Linked DNA regions of Mus musculus. The protein of the gene in region 2 interacts with the protein of the main gene of each other region in a pairwise test. Links are inferred from orthologs where the notes say so. Each region holds a gene or a part of one and is shown on either strand. Other genes may lie near its edges.

Region 1 (7,895 bases), on a different chromosome or scaffold from region 2:
GACACTATTGCATATGCCAGCAAGATTTTGCTGACAGGAGCCTGATATAGCTCTTTTTTGTGAGGCTATGCCAGTGCCTGGCAAATACAGAAGTGGATGCTCACAGTCATCTATGGGATGGAGCACAGGGCCCCTAATGAAGGAGCTAGAGAAAGTACCCAAGGAGCTAAATGGGGTCTGCAACCCTATAGGAGGAACAACAATATGAACTAACCAGTACCCCCCAGAGCTGTGTCTCTAGTTGCATATGTAGCAGAGGATGGCCTAGTTGGCCATCAATGGGTGGAGAGGCCCTTGGTCTTGCAAAGATCATATGCCCCAGTACAGGGGAATGCCAGGGCCAGGAAGCGGGAGTGGGTGGGTTGAGGAGCAGGGCAGGGGGGGAGGTTATAGGGGGCTTTGGGGATAGCATTTGAAATTTAAATGAAGAAAATATCTAATAAAAAAAAAGAAGAAAAAACAAAACAAAAAAACCCCGAGTGATAAGGAGAATTAAAGCCACAATATTGTGGATAAATAAGAGTGTATTTAAAGAAAATTTGGAAAATAGGGATTGACCAGGTGGCCTTCTCAGCTGTAATTTAAAGTGTCACTTTAGATATCTCCTTATAAAAACAAAATAATTGCTGGGCACTACAGTGCACGCCTTTTATCTCAACATTTAGGAGGCAGAGGCAGATGGATCTCTGAGTATAAAGTCAGCTTAGTCTACACTGAGTTCCAGGATAGCTAGAGCTCTGTAAAGGGATTCTGTCTCCAAAAAAAAAAAAAAAAAAAAAAAAAACCAGCAATAACAAAATATTAAAGAGTGACTACGACTATGCAATTGCATTAATATTAAATTTCCCTTAAGCTGGAGTACAGAAACAAAAACTACTGTCATGTGACCTTGGTTGATCAAACACTGACCAAAGTCATTTGGTGAAGGAAAGGGTTTATCTCCTAACTTACGGTCCATCACGCAGTGAAGTCAGGACAAACTCAGGGCAGAAACTGAAGAGGAGATCACAGAGAAATACCGCCTTGCTCTCCAGGAGTCTCTCAGCTTGCTTTTTTTTTTTTAATATAACCCAGGGTCAACCCGTGTGGTTGGGCCCTCCCATATCAACCATTAGTCAAGAAATGCTTCTTGATTAATGCAGACTTGCCTACAGGCCAATCTGACAAAGGCATTTTCTCAATTGAGGCTCCTCTCCCAGGTGATTCTAGGTGTGTCGCGCTCACTACAAACTAACCAGCACAATTATGTTCCCCAAAGCGCGTTGTTGGGACCCACTGCCACAACTTTAATCATTACAGTATAAGTGCCCTCCACTGCTTGGCACTGGGTTAAATCAGCAACATGCACTGAGAGGAACTGAGAGTGCATGAAAGCCATGCACTGACACAAGCAGAACTGCCTGCCCACCTGAGCCTTGTCATATGGCAGGAAACAAGGCAGAGCTGACAACTATACAGGTAAGCGAAGGGATGCTAAACACACTCTGTTGCTGGGAAGGAGGGCGGGGAATTAAGGTTAACACAGGAGTAGTAATGGGACATCCACTGGGACACTCTATCACAAGCTGGAGGAACAACTATCAATAAAATCAGCGATGTAGATTTGAGGGGCCTATGGAATCGAGGCAGTACCCTGAAAATAAGCCCCTGGCTTTAAAAAGAAGCAGTGAGGTAATTTGGGATCGCTGGGAGAGGTAATACCCATCTCAGAGAGGCTGTTTTAAGTTTTGCCTCTCTCTCCTTTGACTCCCATTTTATTCTGCACTGTGGTAAAGCCCCACCGGCACTTCAGAGTATTAAAATTTGGAGGCACTGTCTCTTATTCATTTAGGCTAGTTAGAAGTTGAGAAGCAACGAAGCCTAACAGCTCACATCCTAGCCCTGCCTACTTGTATTTAAGGTGGAAAGACACCTAAGGAAGCAAATTTCATAATGTCACCACGCACGGGGCCTTTGTTTGTTCAGTCACAGTATGTATCTTATACTTCCTTTACTTCAATGTCCTCATCTGAAACGGTGACAAAAGCATCCACCCTACCGAGCAACTGTGAGGGTTAATATAAAATAATTTTAGAAGAGGTAAACGGTGCTATTGCTATCATCAGCAACACCATCCTTCAGTTCCAGGAAGAATGAGAGCCCCAGAACCCTTTCTAGAAAAGTATGTGTGCTCAGCGGTTTGCATCTGGGAAATAAAATAACGGGACTCAGATGCCTAAGAAATACGTTTTGCAGGTACTATTATGAATTTCCCCAGACAGTCTTAACTATGTGTCTTGCTTCAAAGTTTGTATTCGCAGAGAATTTACTTATGCCTAAATGAATAGACATCTACCAACCTGGGTACCTGTTGGAAAGCAAGGTTTTTTGTTCGTTTGTTTTTGTTTTTGTTTTTCTAGATTAGCTGGAAGCATCTATACATAGAGCTGACGAGGGACCAGAGCCCCGAGATGTGGGCTACCAAACCACTGGATAGTTATCAAGAAACCTCAACCCTGAACGATGCTAATGACTGTGATGCTAATGGCTCCACAATGTAATTAGACTCAGATTATTCCAATACAAGCTTCCACTCGGCTTTAATTTTCCTCCTTAATTGGAAACCCAACGCTTAAACACTATTAGTTTTGTGACCCAAACCCTTTTTCACTTCACTTGCCAAATTTGACGGGCGCGTTCACCTCCACCGACGCCTGGGGGTCGATGTCGTCCGACAGAATGGCCATCTCCTGCCGATCAGCATCATACTTGACCTGCAGGCTGTCCAGGCCGCGCGCCACGTGCTCCACGCCGCACACCGCCACCTGCACGCGGTCGCCATCCGGGTGCGCAAGGGGATCCAGGGGCCTCACGGCCAGGTGGCAAGGGAGCCGCGCCCTCAGTCGCCCAAACGGGCTCACCTGCAGCGTCCACTCCCTCAGAGCCCCACGCGCCAGGCCGGCCCCAGAGTCATCGGGCGCTGATCCCTGCCGCTGCGCCCCACTGGAGCCGCAAGTCCGAGCCCCGAGAGCTCCGACCAAGGCGCCCGCCCGCACTCGGGACGCGCAAGGAGGGAGGCGGCCGAACATGCTCTCCCTTGGAACGCTTCAGCCTTGGCTCGCTGGTCCCGGGACCACAAGAACCACGAGCTGCCTCGGGTCAGTCACGAAGGGGACAGCATGCACGGCTCCGCCAAGGAAGAACGAGCCAGGCCCCCAGCACAGTACTTAACGCCTTAAATCCCGGTAGGAAAGTTAAAACTTCAAAGAGCCTAGTTGAAACCCTGACCTGGACAAGTCACCTATTTCCGCCCCTTTGGCGGAGGCCATCGGGATATGTAGTTTTAAAGGAGCCAAACATCAAGGTGTTCTGGTAACTGTGAAACTACATATCCCAGGAGACAGTGCGCTGAATACACAGACTGACAGCCGATTGGTAGAGGAGCCCCCGCTCCCCCCTCGTTGCTTTCCCGTTGCTTCAAGCCCATTGGCCAAGAGAGCAGAGAAAGAAAAAAAGTTAATGTAACTGACCAATAGGAAGAGTAGAAGGGACGGGATAAACTCAGCTGTGGTTACTTTGGATACCAAGGACGCGACTCTTAGGAGAGGGTGAAGTTTTGAAGTGAGACCCCAGGGACCAAAACACACGGAGAAAAATAAGAGTTTAAACAAGGATCAGGACCAAAAGAAAGGGTAAGAAACAGCATGTTTATAGATGGGAATCAGATTCAAAGTTAGGAATACTTTCTTTAGGTAGTTAGAACCAAAGGTCACCAAACTAATGTGGATTCCCTGGGAATAGAGAATCCCCCTCACAAGAGACCTTAGCATGAGAGGACAGACACGTTCTGTTGCTTTCTCCCTTCTCTGTCCTTTAAGGGAACTCCCACTTAGGTAAAAAATACTAGATAGAAAAAGTGTTAGAAGCCAGGTATGGTGGCGCACGCCTTTAGTCCCAGCACTCAGGAGACAGAGGCAGGTGGATTTCTGAGTTCGAGGCCAGCCTGGTCTACAGAGTGAGTTCCAGGACAGCCTGGGCTATACAGAGAAACCCTGTCTCGAAAAAGAAAAAAGAAAAAAAAGGAAAAGAAAAAGTGTTAGAATTCTGGCTCTTTCTTAACTGTAAGTAGTAATCTTAGGCCAGTCATTGGATGCCTTTGGGTTTTACTATTTGCTTATAAAATGATGACACTATCTTCCTTGTCTTGTGTAGAAGTTTTTTTTTTCGTTTTTACCACATTTATCAAATGAAACAATGGACAACAAAGCAGTGCACAGTATACAAAACAAAGTATTTTAGGAATGGCATATGTCTACGTTGCTAAGAGATTTGGAGACATTTGAACTTGGTTAGAGGACAGTCTTGATCTCTTTCCCTGCAACTGGTCCTTGGCCTTAATGGTAAAATAAAATCTCTCTCTCTCTCTCTCTCTCTCTCTCTCTCTCTCTCTCTCTCTCTGGATCATAAGACTTGTTAGGGGATGTCAGAATTTTTTCCTGGTCCTGTTGTATTATCTATGGCACAAGAAATGTTTCTTCAGTTTTGATATAAGACAGACTGTGCTAAATAACTCTATAAGTTAACTCTTTTTTTTATTATTCAGTAGGCAGTAAAGATAATGGGAAATGGGGGGTGTGGACATTATTTCAGCCATATTTGCCTATTCTTCTCCCCATTCTACAAATAATTCCCTAAATTCCTTACATACAGATTTAACTAATTGCAAGTCCAGTGTGATGGTGTTCACTTGTAAGTTTTCAGAGTTTGGGAAGCTGAAGCAGAAAGATCTCAAATCTGAGGCCCACCTGGACTATATACGGAGAACGTTGTGACAAATAAAATACACAATAAGTAAATAAAATGATACCTTTAAAGATCAAAACTCTCAGCCAAATATGGGACCCCAATTCTTTGAACCTGAAGTGACAGATGGATAGATAGACTAGGCTAAAGTCCTCCCCAGCGTCCATGTTGTTCTCTTAGTGAAGACTATGGTAGTGGTGGTGGCAGTGACAGCCCTGCCCTGCTGTCAGCCATCTGAGAAGAAGGCCCCTATCCTTGAGGACCTCCACCAAGGTGAAACCTGTCCTTGACTTTGCTGGAAAAAAAATGTTGGGAGAAGCTAATGTGAAAGAGGGTTGATTTAAAATAGATTTTAAACAAGGGTTTAAGAGCACAGGGGTTGCTAGAGGTGACTGATCACACAGGGAGAGAAAGAGACACACCCAAGAGCACAGGTGTAAGCTCCCTTGAGCTTGCCCTAAGTGACTTAGCAGAAGTGCTCCAGAGTCACTCTTTTGCTGACTCTCATGTTATGCCTCAAAGGATTTCTCTAAGAAACTTCTTTAAAACCTTTCTCTTCTTCTTCTTTTTCAATAAGTGAGATTATAGGATTACTCTAGAGATGTCTTGGATTGGGTTACAGTCCTAAAATAAAACTGTGTGTCACAAGAATTGTAAAAGGGAATTAAAACATGTCCTTTACTAGAAGTAGGGTTTTGGGTAAGATTTCTAGAAAACTGTTGGTTTATAGCTGAGAAAGAAGAAAGAACACATATATTTAGGCCTTACATGTGATCCATTGCTCCTTCAACAATGTAACTTGAAAGTATCACTATGTAAGAGACTGGTGATCCTCATCGATAATGTTGACAGCTGTGTTAGAACTCTTCATCTTCAGCTGGTGAGACACACTGGTCAGGCTCTGGAATGAGGGCTCCTTTTATTCCCAGTTCTCCATCATGTTCCCGTGTTTCTCTCCTGCCTCAGTAGGCTATAAGATAGACTTTATGATAAGCAAGTGCTCACTCAGTGAGTAGCGCCATTGGCTTTGTGTCCCATGTGGACGTACGTACTCAGACGAGCCTTCAAGTTATCTTTTTTAAATGAAAACCCAAGAGTCATACTTTGACATTTGAAAGAGGCACAAGCAAGTTGAAACTGCGCTCTGATTTGCTGTGGACGTGCTGCATATATTTGGGCCGAATATGCATCCTTAATAAATCATCCTGTTCCTATAGTCACTTTTCCTTTTCTGAGGAAAAATAACTTAATAGAACTGACAACTGAGCCATCATGATATCTGTGACACGGTCATTATTTCATTACTTTCAAGCAAAGGAACTAAAACGTACTGAAAGACTACCTTCCTGCTTTTATGAGGGTGGAACCCGAGAATCTGGTAGAGATTAAGAGTGACGTAAGATATTAGTTACCAATGCCTAACAAGCTAGTCAGTATCAAACTTGTCTACCTGTAAAAGTGAGTGATATAGTTTTCAAAGTATGTTCCCGTGTACCATCTCACGGTTTTCTCACAAAAAGCTATTAAGAAGGATAGTTATTCTTCTCCCTGCATGACAGCTGAAGAAACAAGATTCAGAAAAACAAGATGAAGCCATTATGACCCCCAAAACTGTGGTTCTGGGGGGATGAGAGCATTAAATTACAAATGTACAAGATTTTTTTGTTTTGTAGGACTACTTATTAATAAATTATTTCTCTGCTGGTGAGATGAGCCAATTCAACCCAGATTAGATTATATTAAATTCCGGTTTATTGCTCTTGGGTGGGCAAGTTCATTGACCCCAAGGAAGGGGGAGAGAGGGAAAGAAAGAGCACACACACACACACACACCACACACACACACACACACACACACACACACAAACACACACACACACACACACACACACACACACAGAGAGAGAGAGAGAGAGAGAGAGAGAGAGAGAGAGGAAAATGTCTGGATTATATAGGGAAGAGCCCCTGGGGGAAGGGCAGCCCAGCCCCTGGGCTGCAAACTTCAGGGGTGGAGGCAGGATATGCCAGGAAGGGACTGAGGGATGTTGGGAGAACCTGGAGGCCACATCTGCTTTGATATGTTAAAATATGCACCTCACTCCCTTGTCTTGGAGTCTGAAGCCAAACACTTAAAAGAGTTTGAAATAATTTAAAAATCTAAGTGCCCCTAAATGAGAGAGTAATGCTTAAATAAATTTTATATTTGTAATATTATAAAGAAATCTAAAAATAATATCCTGAAATAATCCATAATATAATATTGGGTAATAGAGTACTTAGTAACCTTTGTGTATTAGTTCAATCTCAATTCTGTAACGGCAATAATATATTTAATATAGAATTACATCACAGAAACAATTCCAGAAGGATGCACACCACCTTATAATGATGGCTATCTATCTCTAAGCCACGAGGTTAGATGATTACATCATTTGCATGTTATCAGTAGTGATCATGTTTGGCATTTTTAATGAAGAGAAACAGTAAGGCCTTCTTAGTGTGTACTGTTGCCTAAGGCTGTCTTAGAAATGTAGGGAATTTCTTAGCATCCAAACATAAATGCAGTTGTGTAGAGAATCTCCTACCAAATCAATGTGAAAGGTGGTGACTTTGTTATTACTTTATGTTCAATTCATGGACAGCAGAGGGCAGAAGAGTTTTCAGAAGAAAAGGTAATCAGACCAAGGATTAAGTAGCTCAGTTAAAGGGATGAAGGCCACCAAACTGTGCTCGATTCTGAATTACAGATAATGTTTAAAACAAACAAAAAAACTTCTGCAGTTTCTGTTATTCTTATAAGACAATAATACACTCAGAAACCTAAGAGCTATCACTTCTGAGAATATATAATGAATACGCAGGTGGACCCACTTGGAATCACCTTGTGAAACTGCCAGGCTAACCATACCTGTGAATTGTGAATCAGCTGAGCTCGCTGGCCAATTTAAAACTTCAGGGGAAGCGTTTGGCATCTCACAGTCAACCGTGATGTTGGCTGCACAATTTTCCAATGCCCCTTTGAAGATATTTAACTCCTGGTTTACTTTTTATTTGAGTGATATTATATTTTAAATGATTTTTTCTGTTTGTATTGAGATGACCAGATGGTCGTT
Region 2 (7,795 bases):
GCAGACAGAGACTGGCTGTCCTCCCACCTCTTCAGGAATGCTTTGTCATCAAATGAGTACAGGAAAAGCCTGCAGCTTTAGCTACCTTGCTGGATTTTGGAATTCAAATGAAGAATTAGTAGTAATTGGTTTGAAATGAACTCAGGAAGGCCCATGCACTAACAGAACACAGCATGAAAAGGATACACAAACCCAGTGTGTGTGTGTGTGTGTGTGTGTGTGTGTGTGTGTGTGTGTGTGTGTGTGGTGCAGGGGAAGGGTGGTCATGATGAAGCAGCTTCATGGATGAAGGTTCTAGTGTGTTTTCTCTTCCTCTCATTCCAAGTTCTCACTAACTTTTGACTGTTTTTTGAAAAAAATATTCCCAGCATTCATTGCCCTTATCTTCCAGTTGTACCATATCTCTTATCACAATTTTAAATTTTTTTGAAATTATATCATTTCACCCTTCCCTTTCAACCATATAACCACCCCCTTCCAGCTCATGGCCTAATTGTTTCACACACACACACACACACACACACACACACACACCTGCTCAGTCCCTATAATGTCACTCCTGTGTTTTCTGGGCTGAGCATTTGATGGTGGATAACCAGGTGATGCACTCTTCCCTAGGGCCTGTGGTCCTCTGCCCAGGGCTGGGGCCTTATTTGCTATCCCCCTTCTGAATTAGCATGGCTATTGCTGTCCTTTATCTCCACAGTAGGACCTTGTCTCTTGATCTAAAAACACTGCTACATTTATCCAAAATTCTTCCCAGACTGGAGGTCTCCTAAGTCCTGACTCTAGTATGTTCCATAGACTCAGCATCTTAAAACTCTGGAGCCGTCTTCCTGGAAAGTAAACTCTGGTCTTGAATTTTAGGCTTTCTATGTGGCAGCAGCCTCCCTTCCCACTGCCCTGACTTCTTACCTCTCCTTTCTTTTGGTTTTGAGTCGGTTTCTCCACTTGGGGAAGGGAGGCGGGATAGATGCTGATGGTATGGGCTGTCATGGTCTGTCCTTCAGCACAGGTAAGGATCCTTTCAGATGGTGACAGCCCTAGGGTATTTCTTTATATAAACCATGCTATAATCTTGCTCCTGATTAAGTTGCTTTTTTTTATTAAGTGGGTGAAGTGATCTTTCAGTCTGTCCTTAAGGGTACCCAGGCTTGATCTGCTCATGTCAACCCTTGGGCTTTGGTGAGAATGGGGGCTCATACCTTTCAAGGCCTTCTTGGGATTTTCACAGAGGGACTCGTAGATCTGGAGCTCTGACTGCAGGGACAGGGAGAGCTGCTGTTTCTCTTCGCACTGTTGTTGCAGGAGGGCCAGCTTGTGCTGCAGCCTGCCAAGGAGAGGCAAGGGTTTACTGAGCCAAGTGGGAGAAATGAGCCTCGAGCCAACCTTTGCCTCAGTTGGCCTGGTAGGATGGCCTGGCCATCACATTCATTTGGCAGACTCTGGGGCAGGTAAAGTTAGTTAGCCTGAAGTTGGAACACTAGCTCTGTGTGCAGGCAGCAGTGTAAGCACACTACAAGCCCCTCTCTGCCCCACAGTGCTCTCCACATTGACAGAAAGATGCAGGGCTTCCACTGGGATAACAACTTGCAGTTTATGGCAAGAGTGATGTCATGCATCTAGTGAGAAGGGTGGGACTGCTCTCCTGCCAGTCTCTGACAGATGGAAACCTCTGTAATAGGATTTTATCACTCTACTTCATACTATAAAAACACTATTCTCTCTTTTTGTGTGTGTGTCTCAAATAGAGTCTTCCTTTTGCTCCAAGTGACCAGTGAGGCAGAAGAGTAAAGAAGGAACTGAAGTTCCCAAAGGAGGAAACTACTGATTTGTCAATATCCCTTCTGCACTGAGAAGCCGGGCCATTCCATATCAAGGCCCTGCCTACCTGGAGTTGTTTTCCTGGAGCGACAGCCTCTCCTCTCGGAACTGCACGATCTCATCCTGCTTCTCCTGCAAGTCTTCCAGGAGCTGCTGCCGCTCAGCCTTCTGCTGCTCCAGCTCCTTCTCCAGCTCCTGAAGCTGGGATCTGGAGGAGAGCAGAGCCTCCCGCAGGTGATCCACTTCCTGGGAGTGTCCTGATGAGCGGGACACAGGGGTATTTATGTCATGGCCTGAAGCCCATGAGAAAGACAAACCCAAGCACACGTGAGGCCAGGGGAAGGAAGGTCCCGTGTGGCCGAGCAGTCTGGCTTAGTGGACCCTACGTACTGGGGCTTGGGTGGCAGTGGTGTTTGTGGTATCTGACCCTCCATTTAAGAACACCTGCCCTAGCTCTTAGAGGAGACAGCGAGTTCCCGAAGCTCAGCGTTTTCTAGGTGTTCGTGGGCAGCTATTCAACTGTACACCTCCAGTCTTATCAAAGACCAGCACTGATTTCTTGTTTGTGGTTTTTAGAACATATTCTTTTTCAATTCTTTTGAAAATGTGGACAGCTGGTGTTTTCTGGCCATGTGATACCTCTCTGGTCAAAACTTCTTAAAGATGATCTGTAGGGACTCTTTATATAAGGCCAGTCCTTGGGTATAACTGTGTTCATTTGGAACTCTTACTATTTCCTATCTGTGAGGCTGCCCTCCTCTGTCCCAGCATGCACTGGTAGATTAATTTCTCTGCCTTGCCCTCATCCAGCAGTCTTAGTCATCCTCCAGCAAGGGCCCTGCCTCTCATGTCTTTCTGAACTGACTTAGTACAAAAGTACTAAGGAGTTTCCTTAGAAATAGTTCTTCTCGTCTTTTGCCTCCACAAGGATTCTTTCATTCTGGACTTAATCCTTTGATATATCGCTCTTAGTCTTTTAATGGCCATTAAGTAGATTTTTTTTGTAAATAAAAATCATTTGTTACTAGTTATACATTGATTTAATCAAGTCAACTAATACTATGTAATTTGCCTCTCAGGCCACATAGGCAATAATGCCCACTTATAGATGACCATTAAGTAGGGTTGGGAAAGTTCTAGAGAACATGGAACCATAGGAGGACCGCCGGAGAGCAGCCTGAAGAGGACTGTAGGGAAAGGCAGAGGAATGGCAGAACAGGACCCAGACAGCTGTCCAGAGCTGTACTTATTTGAGGCTGTATGAGAAAATACACACAAGCATGCTCTCTGGTTTTATGGTTCCAATCAGGTGTGAGCAGACAGAAGGGGATGGATTCCAAACTGACCGGTCAGGCACTGTTATTGAATATAGGCAGGCTTTCAAAAGGGATAACCTTCCTAGAGCCATTCTGTCTTAGAACCTAGGAGCCTGAGGGCGAGGGTTAGGATCTCTTATGGCAGTGGTTCTCAACCTTCTTAATGCTGAAACCCTTTAATACAGTTCCTCATGCTGTGGTGATCCCCAGACATAGAGTTATTTTTGTTTTTACTTCATAACTGTAATCTTGCTTCTGTCATGAATCATAAAACGTCTGTGTTTTCTAAAAGTCTTAGGCAACCCCTATGAAAGGGTCACTTGACCCTCCTCAAAGGGTCTTGAACCACAGGTTGAGAACCACTGCCTTGGGAGTAGCCCTTTGAAGACAGATTAGCAATGTAAATATTGGGCTGGTAACTAAACCTTCTCTTTGCTTTTTCCAACTGGTGATTGCCCTGGCGAGGATAGAGATAGTCCTAGGAGGACTGTAAGTCTGGGTTTACACAACCTACCTCTGGAAGCATGGCTGAGCCGTGTCTGCAGGCTTTGGTTTTCTTCCCTTAGGGCTCTGTTCTCATTGTAGAGCTGAGGCATGGACTCCAGGCCCTGACTGTAGAAGTGAGAGGTGGAACCTGTCCCGGACAACACACACGTCCCATGTTACATCCCCTCAAAGATCTGCTGTCCCAACCCAGCAGCAAGCTCCAGCCCTCAAGGCCTGGGATTAACTTGAGCATAATGGCTGGATGCTGAGCAGTGTGTGTGTGTTTTCAGACCATGCCGTCTTTGTGTGCACCCAGCACTTGTACCCATTATATCAGTGTAGGACGCGTCTCCTAACTAGCTGGGGAGGAATGAGCAGTTGCATATACAAAGAGTGACATCCAAATGACAACATCTTGTGGGATGGGGGAGGTAGGGACTAATGGCCTCCTGAGTGAAGTGGGTCGGGGGTGGGTCTTCATAGACCTGCCTCTACTGGTTATCAATCACAAGGACACAGTGCATATAAACAGGTTAAGGACGAGAGGCCAGATCTTTGTCTGAGGAAAGTCAGTCTCTGAGCTCAGAGTGCACAGCAGAAATAACGGCTCTCCATACCCTCCAACCCTCGCCTGACTGTGACAATCCAGTAAAGAGTATCGGACTGATTAGAAAAGCGTGAGGCTCTGCCTAGTGGCCTTGCCTACCGTTTTCTCGGGCAGTGGAGCTGAGCCTGTGCTGCAGCTGCTCCCGCAGCCGGTCATTGACACATATGGACTCCTCCAGGCGCTGGCGCAGGTTCCGGATCTCACCTAAATGCTCTTCCAACAGGTCAGCGCCTGCAGCCATCATCCCCGGACAGGGCAGAAGCAGGAGACACAAGGCTGGTTACTAGGGTGAGGTGAGCTCTGCCAGTGGACAACCCAGCCTGTCCCCCAATGTCGCCTTCCTTTTGCCCACAGTGTCCTTTCACACAGTCAATCAGCTCCACTTAGTGACACAGGAGCTTCATGACCATAGGGTGGCCTCTTGCTAAGGAAAGCCCACGGGCCTCCATTCTTGGCGAACGGGGGCTTCAAATCACTGAGAAAATAACCGACAGATCTAACTGAGCCCAACTGCCATCTGGAAAGGCGGATCCACCTCTCGGGTGTGGTTTTGGGGGTGAAAAGGAAGGCCTTACTGCCTTTTTTTTTTTTTTTCCAATTCCTTTTCCTGATAAGCTACTCAATAGCTTTTAGCAAAATCCATTCTTTCCCACCTAGAAAAAAGACCTAAGGTAAAAACCACATGCCTTCAACCTACCAATCGTAGCTAAGGACTGATGCTCGATGCTTTCACATGTCACTTTTAGTCAGGCAGGAAGAAGGAATCCCCTGCATGGTTCTAGGACCCCGAAGGACCCAGGAGAGGCAGCACTGCTAGGTTACAAGTGAACTGACTCACTTCTGGCTTTCTCTTGGAAATTCAGTTTCTTGCTGTTGGGACCGGGCTGCATTGTGCTTTTTGCCATAGTTATGCTCTTCTATCTGCTGTGACTGGATTTTGTGCATAGAGCATGTATGAGGGGTAGAGACTGTTGTATCCTTTCTATGTATTTCCTGACCGAGGAGAGAAGGTCCCAGCTCTGTGCCTTACCAGTGGGCTTGGAGTTAAGCTGGTACATCGAGGAGCCTGAGGACAGCTCCCCAGAGACGCTCCCTTTCTGGGGCCTCATCATGTCCCACTGGCCGCTGCTTCCCAGGTATCCAGGCTCCAGGATTCGTCCCAGCTCTATGGTGCTCCTTGTCGGAGTGTGGGGCTGGGCAGGGTTGATGTAGTGGGGAGAGCTAGCTTCAGTCTGGTTGCTGAGCAGCGTGGATGTGGAGGCGGGAGGGGCAATGCTAACACCTGGGCAGATAGAAACACAGTGAGAGAGGGTATCAGTAGCCAAGAGCGGTAAGGGAATCGAGATGGCTGAGAATGGAGACTAGCAGTGGACACGGGGTCGGGGAGGGGGCAGGGGGAGGTTAGTACCCCAGTTCATCACAGAATATCGGTTAGATGAAGACTCAAAGCCTCAAGCCTGACTTTCACCCTCTGCATTTCTGAGCAGGAGACACCCAGAGGAGGGTCTGAAAAGCCCAGGGGCTCCATTCCTCGTTCCTACTGTTATTCCTCATGATCGAATCCAGGAAAGTTCCGGAAGTAGGAGACATCCCATAGTTAGGGATTAAGAATGTGATGGGCTATCTGACTGGGCACACCCACAGGTGGTAGCATCTGTTTGCTTGTGCTTGCCTTTGCCCAACGCTAACCAGTTGGTTTTTCCGTGCCTCCTTCAGGGAGACAGGGGATAGGACTTTTCCAGATTGAAGAACTCTTTGTTCACGTTGGAAAACCTCCTGTATAAGAAAAGTTGTGATCTGGATCCCCTCCACGGCCATCAAACCTTAAAGCAATGGCTCTCAACCTGTGGACTGCAACCCGTTTGGGGATGAATAACCCTTTCACAGGGGTTGCATATCAGACATTTGCATTATGATTCATAACAGTAGCAAAATTACAGTTATGGAGTAGCAAGAAAATAATTTTATGGTTGGGGGTCACATATGTATTAGAAAGGATAAAGACCATTGACTTAACGAACCATCAAGCTCATCCTAAGGAGGGCAGCGGGACCTCCTCTTCCCTAGGATGACGCTTTCAAAGACCCTATGAAAATGAGGCCTCTCGTTGAGCACTGTAAGAAGAGGCAGGAGTTCAGGTGATGTCCTTTATAGCCTGTTTCTGATCTATCTAGGCAGTGTCTGAAAGGAGGGCCCCTATGCAGGGTTTAGATTACTAGTTCTGTTTTTTAAAGCCAAGAACAGGGAAGGAATGTTTGGGGCGGGGGTGGGGGGGTGGGGGGGTGGGGGGAAGGGCTGTGTGTGTGTGCAGAGGGATGCACAGGGCCATAGTTCAGTGTGGAAGGCTGATTTCTTCCAATGATTATCAACACAGGCAAAGTAGACAGGCAGCTCCCTCTAAGCAAACAGGATTGAGGCCATTCATCATTTCCTCCAAGCATATCAGACTCTGGGCAAAGATTGGTACAACTACAACTGCTACTGACAGATTTTCATCCTCAATTAGAACTAGTTCTCACATCTGCTAGAATCGCCTAAGGTAATCACACACACACACACACACACACACACACACACACACACACACACATACATCTGGGCTACCACAGATAGGTGTAAGATGCATTTTGAGCACTGGACATTTAGGAAAGTCATCTCAGGAGATTTTAACAAGCTGTAACTTTGAGAAGTATTGTGGTTGGCCTTTCCTTCTCCCGTTATTCTAGTCACTCATTAGGCTTAAAGCAGAGGAGACTAAGGATTTCAGCATTTATACTTTTTAGTGGGGACTTAACAAAGATAAGATTTCCTATTCCTTTCATACCTGATGCTACCGTAGCCCTAAACAAGGCAAGGACCAAGAGAGGCTTTAAGTCCATTGGTACCAGTGATTGGTATCTTTGTGATCCAGTTTCCTCCGGTTACACATACAGAACTTCTGCCTTATAGCATGCAAAGCCATCATGTCAGGAGCTCTTAGCCCCACACACACCTGGGAAGCTTCCATGTGCCAGTGTCTACATGGAAAAGTGATTCACAATAGACAGTGAGCACTGGGTGATGGTCCCTCAGAGAGAACCATGCCTACAGATGGGAAAGGAAGGGCTACAGTATTCTTTACAAAGGCTGGGCTCATCTGAACCAACATCAAGGGCCTGAGACTGTAACTCCAACCCACGATGCACAGGGTTTTCCTTCCATTTTTTCCTTTCCACAAAGATCTGTTGACAGTCATAAAAAGGTACAGAAAAGTGGGATGGAGAGAAGGAAATAGAAGCCAAAAAATGTATATACCATCTCAACACAAGACAGATTTGTTGGTGCCAGAATTCTAACAGAACAGTCTTAGGTCGTCATAAGTCCTAGACCATCAGCTGGTCTCTAAAGAGAAAGAGAACTCAGCTCTAAAGAATAGCCAGAGTGTTTCCACTGGGCTCTGCCCATAGCCTAAGCATCGGGGCATCTAAACTACCCTAGTGCAAAGGTATGGGGGAAATCACACAGCAGATGCAGAAGACAGGCTCCAAAGCCATCTCTCATCTCTCCCACTAGGCCATTACCT
Region 3 (7,895 bases), on a different chromosome or scaffold from region 2:
TGTACCAGACAAGCTCACGCCATGTAGCCTCTGCCTGGACCACTCTTCTTCCAAACACCCACATGGCTCATTCCTTCCCTCTTGCAAACTTGGCTCAAATGCTGTGAGCATCATTGTCTCAGGATGTCACTGCCTCATGGGTCCCTGCACTGACCACACTATTAAAATCACATTCCCCCTCACCTTCTCTGCCTTATTTAACACTCACCACATCTGACACTATGCAGTCCCCCTTTTTATGCCTGCTCCCAGCACTTAAGAGTAGTGCCTAGCAGATAAATAAACTCTAAGGAATGACTAGTTAACAAAAGACAAGTGCAAGAAGAATCCAAGTCTGAGCACTAGAGAACTGCAACGAATTATACAGCCTGCTGACCCCGTGAATTATACAGCCTGCTGACCCCGTGAATTATACAGCCTGCTGACCCCGTGAATTATACAGCCTGCTGACCCCGTGAATTATACAGCCTGCTGACCCCGTGAATTATACAGCCTGCTGACCCCGTGAATTATACAGCCTGCTGACCCCGTGAATTATACAGCCTGCTGACCCCGTGAATTATACAGCCTGCTGACCCCGTGAATTATACAGCCTGCTGACCCCGTGAATTATACAGCCTGCTGACCCCGTGAATTATACAGCCTGCTGACCCTGTGAATTATACAGCCTGCTGACCCTGTGAATTATACAGCCTGCTGACCCTGTGAAGTCTGCACCTGCTGCAGCCTCTAGGGGCGGCTCTGGGCAGTCAGTCAGGAAGCACTCGAAGGATATGAGCTTCCATAATGTCTGTCGATGTCCTGCAGCCACTCCAACATGTCAGCCACAGAGGGGCTCACAACTGAGGGGCGCAGGACGGTGTCAATGTCTAGCACAGCCGCATGCTGCTCGTAGGCCTGAAACACCTGCTCCACGTGGCTGTTGATGGTGTTACGGACCTTGAGGAGGGTGGCTCTGTGGGAAAAGGAGGGTGTTAGGCAGTATCCTAAAAAAAGATAGGGGGTAAGCCTTCTCAAACCACTACTGTCCTGTTAAGTTTTGTTTCAGAGGGGACTCAAACCCTTAGACGTGTTAGGGAAGCGGTCTACCACTGAGCTATACCCTTGTTAATTTAGTATGAGGGAAGGGCATGCACATGACAGAGTATGCTTGGAGATCAGAGGGCTACTTTGTGGCATCCACTCTGTCCTTCCACCTTTCCATGGGCCCGTGGATTGAACCCAGGTCATCAGGCTTACACGGCAAGTGCCTCTACCCCAGGAGCCATCTTAACTGCCCTTGTCTGGCCAGTTCTTCAATGGCAATGTGGGCTCGACATGCACAGACTGCTTGAGAATGTGAGTTATTTCCCCTGTGCATAAAGGCTTCATTGCTCACTGTGTTTCCCAAGAACAGCAAACACACAATCAGTGAATGAATTGTCACTGGAAAGATAAATACTATGATGTGTGTAAAGTGCCTTTGGCAGTGGCTACATAGTATTCGAATGCTGACTCTAAGGAACCCATCACTAAAACAAAGGCTGCAACTTCCCAATGGACAAGGGATCCTCTAGCCCAGAACGCTAGCTCTAAATATCCTACTGTGGCTTATGGTGTAAAAACAGGAAACAATCCAAAATCCTCAAGTGTGTAAGACCTGCTTATAGTCGATGACTAACATCAAGAACAAGCAGAAGCCGGGTGTGGTGGCGCACACCTTTAATCCCAGCACTCAGGAGGCAGAGGCAGGCGGATTTCTGAGTTCGAGGCCAGCCTGGTCTACAAAGTGAGTTCCAGGACAGCCAGGACTATACAGAGAAACCCTGTCTCCAAAAAAACCAAAAAAAAAAAAAAAAAAAAAAAAAAAAGCAGAAAACAGAGTATCTGTGTAACACCTGTGTTGTTACTGTTTCTTGGGCTACTTAGTTACACATGTATCCACTTGTGTGTAGAACCAGGTGGTGGTAAGAAGCCCCAGCTTAAGTGGCAGGCCCACTTCAGATTCCTGGCTCTATTTCTCACGGACTCTGTGATCAGGACAATCAGTTTGAGTTTCCCTTTTCTTGCTTCCAAGTGCATAGACAGGTATAAGGCAGAGGTGTACAAGGTCCCGGACACACAGTCCTTACTCCCAGCTCTCCCTGAACTGCAGTACACCAAGGACAACGACAGAAGAGGGCTGCACTCCTCGCCACCCTCTTCTTTTCTGCTTTTGTAATTTCTTCCATTTATTTAGTTGGTTTGGGGTTATTTTTATTTATTTGTTTGTTTACTTACTTATTTATTTTGAGACTGGGTTTATCTGTGTAGCCCTGGTTGCCTTGGAACTCTCTATGTAGACCAGACTGGCCTTGAACTCAGAGATCTGCTTGTATATGCCTCCTTAGTGCTGAGATTAAACACCTGGCCTGATTTGGGTTGTTTTGTTTTGTTTTAAAGACATGCATGGTCTTACAATGTAGTCCAGGCTGGCCTCGAACTCACAGACATTCAACTTAGCTCCAGCATGATTACTCCTGACTTGCTTTTGTCGATTTCTGTAGGACCCCCTGACTGAGGCTGGGATGCCATGCGGCATTAAGATCTGTCCATCAACAAAGGGGGACAACAGAGCCTCTTACAGCCGCTCAGCTAGCTTGTCCAGAACAACGTCACCAGCCTCCAGCTGCTTGCGCCTCAACCGCTCCTGTAAGTCTGGAAAGGGACGCAGGGCTGGCACATCCTCAAAGCGCAGACTCTGTGCGGCTTGCAGCTGCTCAGCCAGGTTACTGAGAGAGGACAGGAGGGGCGAGCAGTCCTGCAGGGTGCTCTGCCACAGGTTCTGCTGTTCCTCCACCACAGGGAAGCACTTCCTCAGGGCCTCCTGCACAACCAGCAGAGGCTGGTCATGAGCCATTTTCTGGGAAAAAATAAACAAAACAAAAGGGAGTCAGGGTACCAGAAGGGAGGGCCTGCATCAAGGCTGCGTCATTTCCGACCTCAGGAGAAGACCAGCTGTTGGTCTTCAAATAGTCCCAAGGCAATAATGAAAGGTAGGGAGACTTTGGGGGACACAAACAAGAACTCCTAGTCCTGGAAGTGGGCTGACACCTTCAGCCAACAATGAAGGAAGAATTCCTGCAAGTACACTTACCAACTGTGAACAGCCTTTCTTCCTTCCTGCTGTAAATCTTCCATGTTCTAGAAATCTCACCAGGAATCCCATTTACAGAGAAAGGACACACACTACCCCATTTACATCTGTAGGATTTAATACCATCAAAGAATCTTGAAAGCCACCTCACTTACTTCTCTTATCAAACAACTTCTTGTTTGAAGGGAGTCACAAGGGTTTTTAGAAACCCTTTTGAGATGTAAACTGAAAGCCACCAAAATAAGTAATTGTGGCTAATGTAACATGACTTTAATTCCAGCCCTCTGGAAGCAGAGCCGGGTTTTGGGTTTGAGGCCAGCCTGGTCTCAAGAAACTGGGGGAAAAGAAAGAAAATCAACTGCTGATCTCCCTAGAGAATCTCATACCCACGTGGCTATGTCTAACTTTCTGAGATTCTCTGAGGAGCATGCAAGTGTCTTTTATGCCTAGGTGCCTGCCTCTCTCTCTTAATTCTTGTGCTTATGCCTGTATTTAAAACAGCCATAGGCTGGGAGTTGTCGAATGCATCTTTAATCCTAGCACTGGAAAGACAGAAACAAGCAGATCTCTGTGAGTTCGAGGCCAAACTAGTATACACAGAGACTTCCAAGATAGCCAGCGTTATATGGTGAGGCCCCGTAGCAAATATGTTCATGTAACTCTGCTTCATAAATCAGCTAGTGCTGAGTTCTTTTCAGCGTCAGGGCCATCAACTGAGCTCAGCTAGTGCTGAGTTCTTTTCAGCGTCAGGGCCATCAACTGAGCTCAAGTCCTTAAAAGGCTAGGGCAACTCCCCACGCTGCAGAGTGGAGCTGTGTCTCTGTCTTGTAACCGCGGACACTCAAGAATATTGATTCTGGCGGTCCTCTTACCTTCTCTCTGCAGGAAGACCGTTGCTTCGGGTCTTCCGAAGGGGTTTCTTCACGACAGGGCAATCTGCTTTAGACTGCGAGTCTCTGGGGTCTGTCTGTTCCGGGACCTGTGCTTCTGGAGTCAGTCTTGTCGCCTCTCTTTAAGATTTCCAGCCCTAAATCAACAGGAAAACGTAAATCCTGCGATGTCAACGCTGAGTACATCAAAAACTACACCGCGCTTATTCACAAGAACGAACTCACCACTCTACTTCCAGTTAGCACGACTCTGGAGTCGCGAAAAGATGGCGTGTGCCGCAATGACATCTGGGCATTGAAGTCCTCCATGAGGATTGGCTGGCGGAAGGAGAAGAAGCTTTATTGTGATTGGGCGTGGTGAGAACCGTCCTAAGACGGCGATTTGCTATTGGCTAGGCTGTGCCCGTTGAGTTTGAATTGGGTGGCGGTTAACCGAGGAGCCGCCCGTCCCTTAGTTGGAGCTGTGAGGGTTCCTCAGACTGTGTTTTGGGACCTGCAGGTAGGTTTCGGCAGAGTTCTGGAAACCTAGACTCCAACGACTGAACTTTCTCAGCTCTCCGACCGCTCACACCCTCTCCCCGTCTCAGTCGCGGAGCCGGCTGCTTGGCCCCTCGCTCGACGCAGCCAGGCGCCATGGCTCCCAAGAAACGCAGCAGCCGCGGAACCAGGACCAACACGCTGCGGAGCCGGAAGCTCGCCTCCTTCCTGAAGGACTTCGACCGCGAGGGTAAGGGGTGGATTCGCGTGATCGTGGGTTTTGGGTGGGTTGGGACGCGGATGCGACGGCTTCGCACACCTGACGCGGGATCCGTCCGCTTTCACCTCTTTGCAGTGCAAGTTCGAACCAAGCAAATTGAGTCCGACAGACAGACCCTCCTCAAGGAGGTGGAAAATCTGTACAACATCGAGATCCTTCGGCTCCCCAAGGCGCTGCAAGGGATGAAGTGGCTTGACTACTTCGGTAAGAGCTGCTAGCGTTTTCCCCGTGACCAACGAGTGCTTATCTTGAAAGCTTATTGTAGGGACTCATTCAGATGTCCCCTTCTTAATAAGGTCTAAAATAACCACCGGTAGGAAATTGCCATCTGTCATAACTTATAAAAGAATGGTGGGCCCATAGGAAAGAAGTAGGCATGAATTACCCTTCAGATGAGCGCTATTAGGACAGTGCATCTCACCTTCACGTTTGAATGGGAGAGCTTTAGAAGAGATATACCAGAAATAGAATGATGGAGGCCTGAAGGAAGAGGGGCGAGGCCGAGATCTCAAATCTATAGTACAAAGTGAGCTGATAATTGAAGGTTTTTCAGGGGTTGGGGGAGGCTGTTCCGCACTGACATGACCTAACCTATGCTAGCCTACCTGCCAATAGGCAGGGATGCAGTCGCTCAGTAGGACAGTAAGAGTTGTCCTGCAGCTTAACAGCGGAGGGAGAGGACTGTAAGAGCAGGACGCATCATGTCTTCTCAGCATCTCTGTATCCAGGGGGAGTGTTTTGGGAGAACACATCCATCTTTTGGGGAGACCCTACTGCTCAGCCCCACTGGAAACTGCCTGCCATCCAGCCAGGCCAGTGGTAGGCAAACCACTGTCCTTAGCAGGCCAGGTAACAAACAGTCTTGAGTTCTGGAACTGCATTTCTGTTACAGTTCCAAAAGAGCCGTGATGAGTTTGATTTCTGGGCAAACTGAAATGTCAATTTCACATAATTTTCACACATCCGGGAAATACTTGTACAAACTCAGCCTTCTAAAATGAATGAATAAATTAAGAGAAAAATTATTTGTTTTTTGTCAGAGCTCATTTCGGACAGTATCCTCAAACAGCTCTGTCTTGTGAACTACAAAGATAGGAGTAGGCCGGGCAGTGGTGGCGCACGCCTTTAGTCCCAGCACTTGGGAGGCAGGGCAGGTGGATTTCTAAGTTCGAGGCCAGCCTGGTGTACAGAGTGAGTTCAGGGACAGCCAGGGCTATACAGAGAAACCCTGTCTCGAAGAACCAAAATAAAAAACAAAAACAAAAGACAAATCACAAATCATCACGGCCAAATAAATTAACGCAAGCGTTTTCATTAGTGTATGCAGGCTGCCTCCCCCTACGGCTGGGTTTGAGAGATCGGCATTGGATGTGAGGAAGTCAAGTCTCTTACAGCTCAGTGGTTGGGTGGGGGGGGGGTGCGTCTTCAAATGGGGGATTTAGCAAGCAAAATGGGCGGGGTTACAGAAGCAGAACATAAGCAGAACAAGTTAGTCTCCTTCTGAAACAAAGCCAGGTGAACATAACAAGATAATCATAGCCGAGCAGTGGTGGTGCACGCCTTTAATCTTGGCACTTGGGAGGCAGAGGCAGGTGGATCTCTGAGTTCGAGGCCAGCTTGGTCTACAAAGTGAGTTCCGGGACAGCCAGGGCTACACAGAGAAACCCTGTCTTGAGGAGAAAAAAAAAAAGATAAGAGTGGTTTTCTGACCAGAGAAAAATGTCAGCCCATTTCCCGCCATTTGTGAAACCCCTGAGGAAGCATGGAGGCTCCTTTCTCTCCAGCTGCTTCCTCTGCCTTCCTCATCACTATATCTACCAGTGTGCCTCCTCCTTCCTAGGTACAAGTGCATGTTTTGCTAACAAAATTCTTCTGTCATGCCTTATTAATCTTTCTGTTCATTCATTTCTACAAAGTTAAGTGTCACTCACTAGGCTAGGCACTAAAGATGCACCTAGGAAAAGCAGACATTGTCCCACCACAGGGGTAGTGGAGAAGGACCGCTTAAAAATTCATACAGAATTTAGAAATAAAGTACGACAAACAAGATGGGAGTAGCAGCCAGTAAGTATGAACTGAATAAGCATTAATAGGATGAGCCAGTTTTGTTTTTGAGACAGGCTCTCTTTGCAGCCCTAATAACCCCAGCTATTCTGGAACTCTTATATAAATCAAGGTGGCCTTGAACACACTTGTGATCCACCTGCCTCTATCTCCAAAGTTCTCAGATTAAAGGCATGTGCCACCACGCTGGCAAATAGGCCAGTTTTAGGAGGATAACACTGGGGCCCAGAGAGATACATTACTCAGGTTCTCACATATGGAGGCAGAGTCTGTTTGCTCCCCATCATTCTGTCTGTAAGGCCCAGGATCTTAACTGTAGACCCTGGATTCCATGAGGAGTTCTTTGTCTTTTTTTTTAAATTGTGGTCATTGTTTTGTTTTGTTTTGTTTTTGTCTTTTTCTTGAGACAGGGTTTCTCTGTGTAGCCCCAGCTGTCCTGGAATCCATTCTCTAGACCAGGCTTATTGATTTAACAAAATCTCAATAGTTTGATTTTCCCTATGAAGACTTGGGAGCCAGATGCTGAGGTGAGAGCCTACTAGCTCAGAGAGACAGAGAGAGCACCCAGCTGACCTTCCCCCTCAGCTGATGTCCTAGAAGGCATGCCTCTCTCAGGCCATCTCAAGAAACCTTCAGATTGAATGCCCCTCCCTTCTACTTCCTGTATGTCTCTCTATCTACCCTCCTGACTTGTTCTTACCCTCTATGGTTTTTCCTAATAATCGTATGCTCACTTCCTGTCAGCTGGTTGCCTGCTCTATCTTTTGACCTATGGTTGACTCTGTTTAGTCATGTTTACAGTACTCAAGCAAAAAGCTCTTGGATTAAAGGTGTATGTTAAGGCTGAGCCACACAACTAAAAACGAGTTTTTCTAGTAAATAGCACAGTCCTGGGGTTCACAAATATTCTGTAACACAGGCTGGTGTCTGACTGTGAGATCCGCCTGCCTCTGCCTCCTAAGTACTAGGATTAAAGGCGTGCGCCGTCACTGCTGGGACCGTGAAGACTTGTAATAAGGAGCTCACCTAAGCTTTCATTCTATATCTTTTTGCCAGGACCAAGGGATAT

Evidence for each region.
Region 1: the proteins of Pde4dip (region 2) and Ccdc146 interact in binary tests that used the Homo sapiens proteins (3 or more experiments, as listed by UniProt). The two-hybrid records come from large-scale screens. The link is inferred for Mus musculus from reciprocal best matches to the Homo sapiens genes PDE4DIP and CCDC146.
Region 3: the proteins of Pde4dip (region 2) and 9930104L06Rik interact in binary tests that used the Homo sapiens proteins (3 or more experiments, as listed by UniProt). The two-hybrid records come from large-scale screens. The link is inferred for Mus musculus from reciprocal best matches to the Homo sapiens genes PDE4DIP and AIRIM.

What each region holds. Positions count from the first base shown.
Region 1 is NC_000071.6:21,420,341-21,428,235, reverse strand, and holds the start of Ccdc146 (coiled-coil domain-containing protein 146), read left to right. Parts: upstream 1-3,558; 5' UTR 3,559-3,671; intron 3,672-7,895. Other genes in the region: protein FAM185A, read right to left, coding at 2,660-3,068. UniProt on the Homo sapiens protein: Essential for sperm flagellum biogenesis and male fertility.
Region 2 is NC_000069.6:97,697,904-97,705,698, forward strand, and holds part of Pde4dip (myomegalin), read right to left. Parts: intron 5,516-7,795; coding exon 5,264-5,515; intron 4,465-5,263; coding exon 4,333-4,464; intron 3,775-4,332; coding exon 3,655-3,774; intron 2,082-3,654; coding exon 1,892-2,081; intron 1,331-1,891; coding exon 1,206-1,330; intron 1-1,205. UniProt on the Homo sapiens protein: Functions as an anchor sequestering components of the cAMP-dependent pathway to Golgi and/or centrosomes.
Region 3 is NC_000070.6:124,933,426-124,941,320, reverse strand, and holds the start of 9930104L06Rik (uncharacterized protein C1orf109 homolog), read right to left. Parts: upstream 4,274-7,895; 5' UTR 3,988-4,273; intron 2,882-3,987; 5' UTR 2,879-2,881; coding exon 2,604-2,878; intron 956-2,603; coding exon 776-955; intron 1-775. Other genes in the region: Cdca8 (borealin), read left to right, coding at 4,639-4,732, 4,838-4,966. UniProt on the Homo sapiens protein: Part of the 55LCC heterohexameric ATPase complex which is chromatin-associated and promotes replisome proteostasis to maintain replication fork progression and genome stability.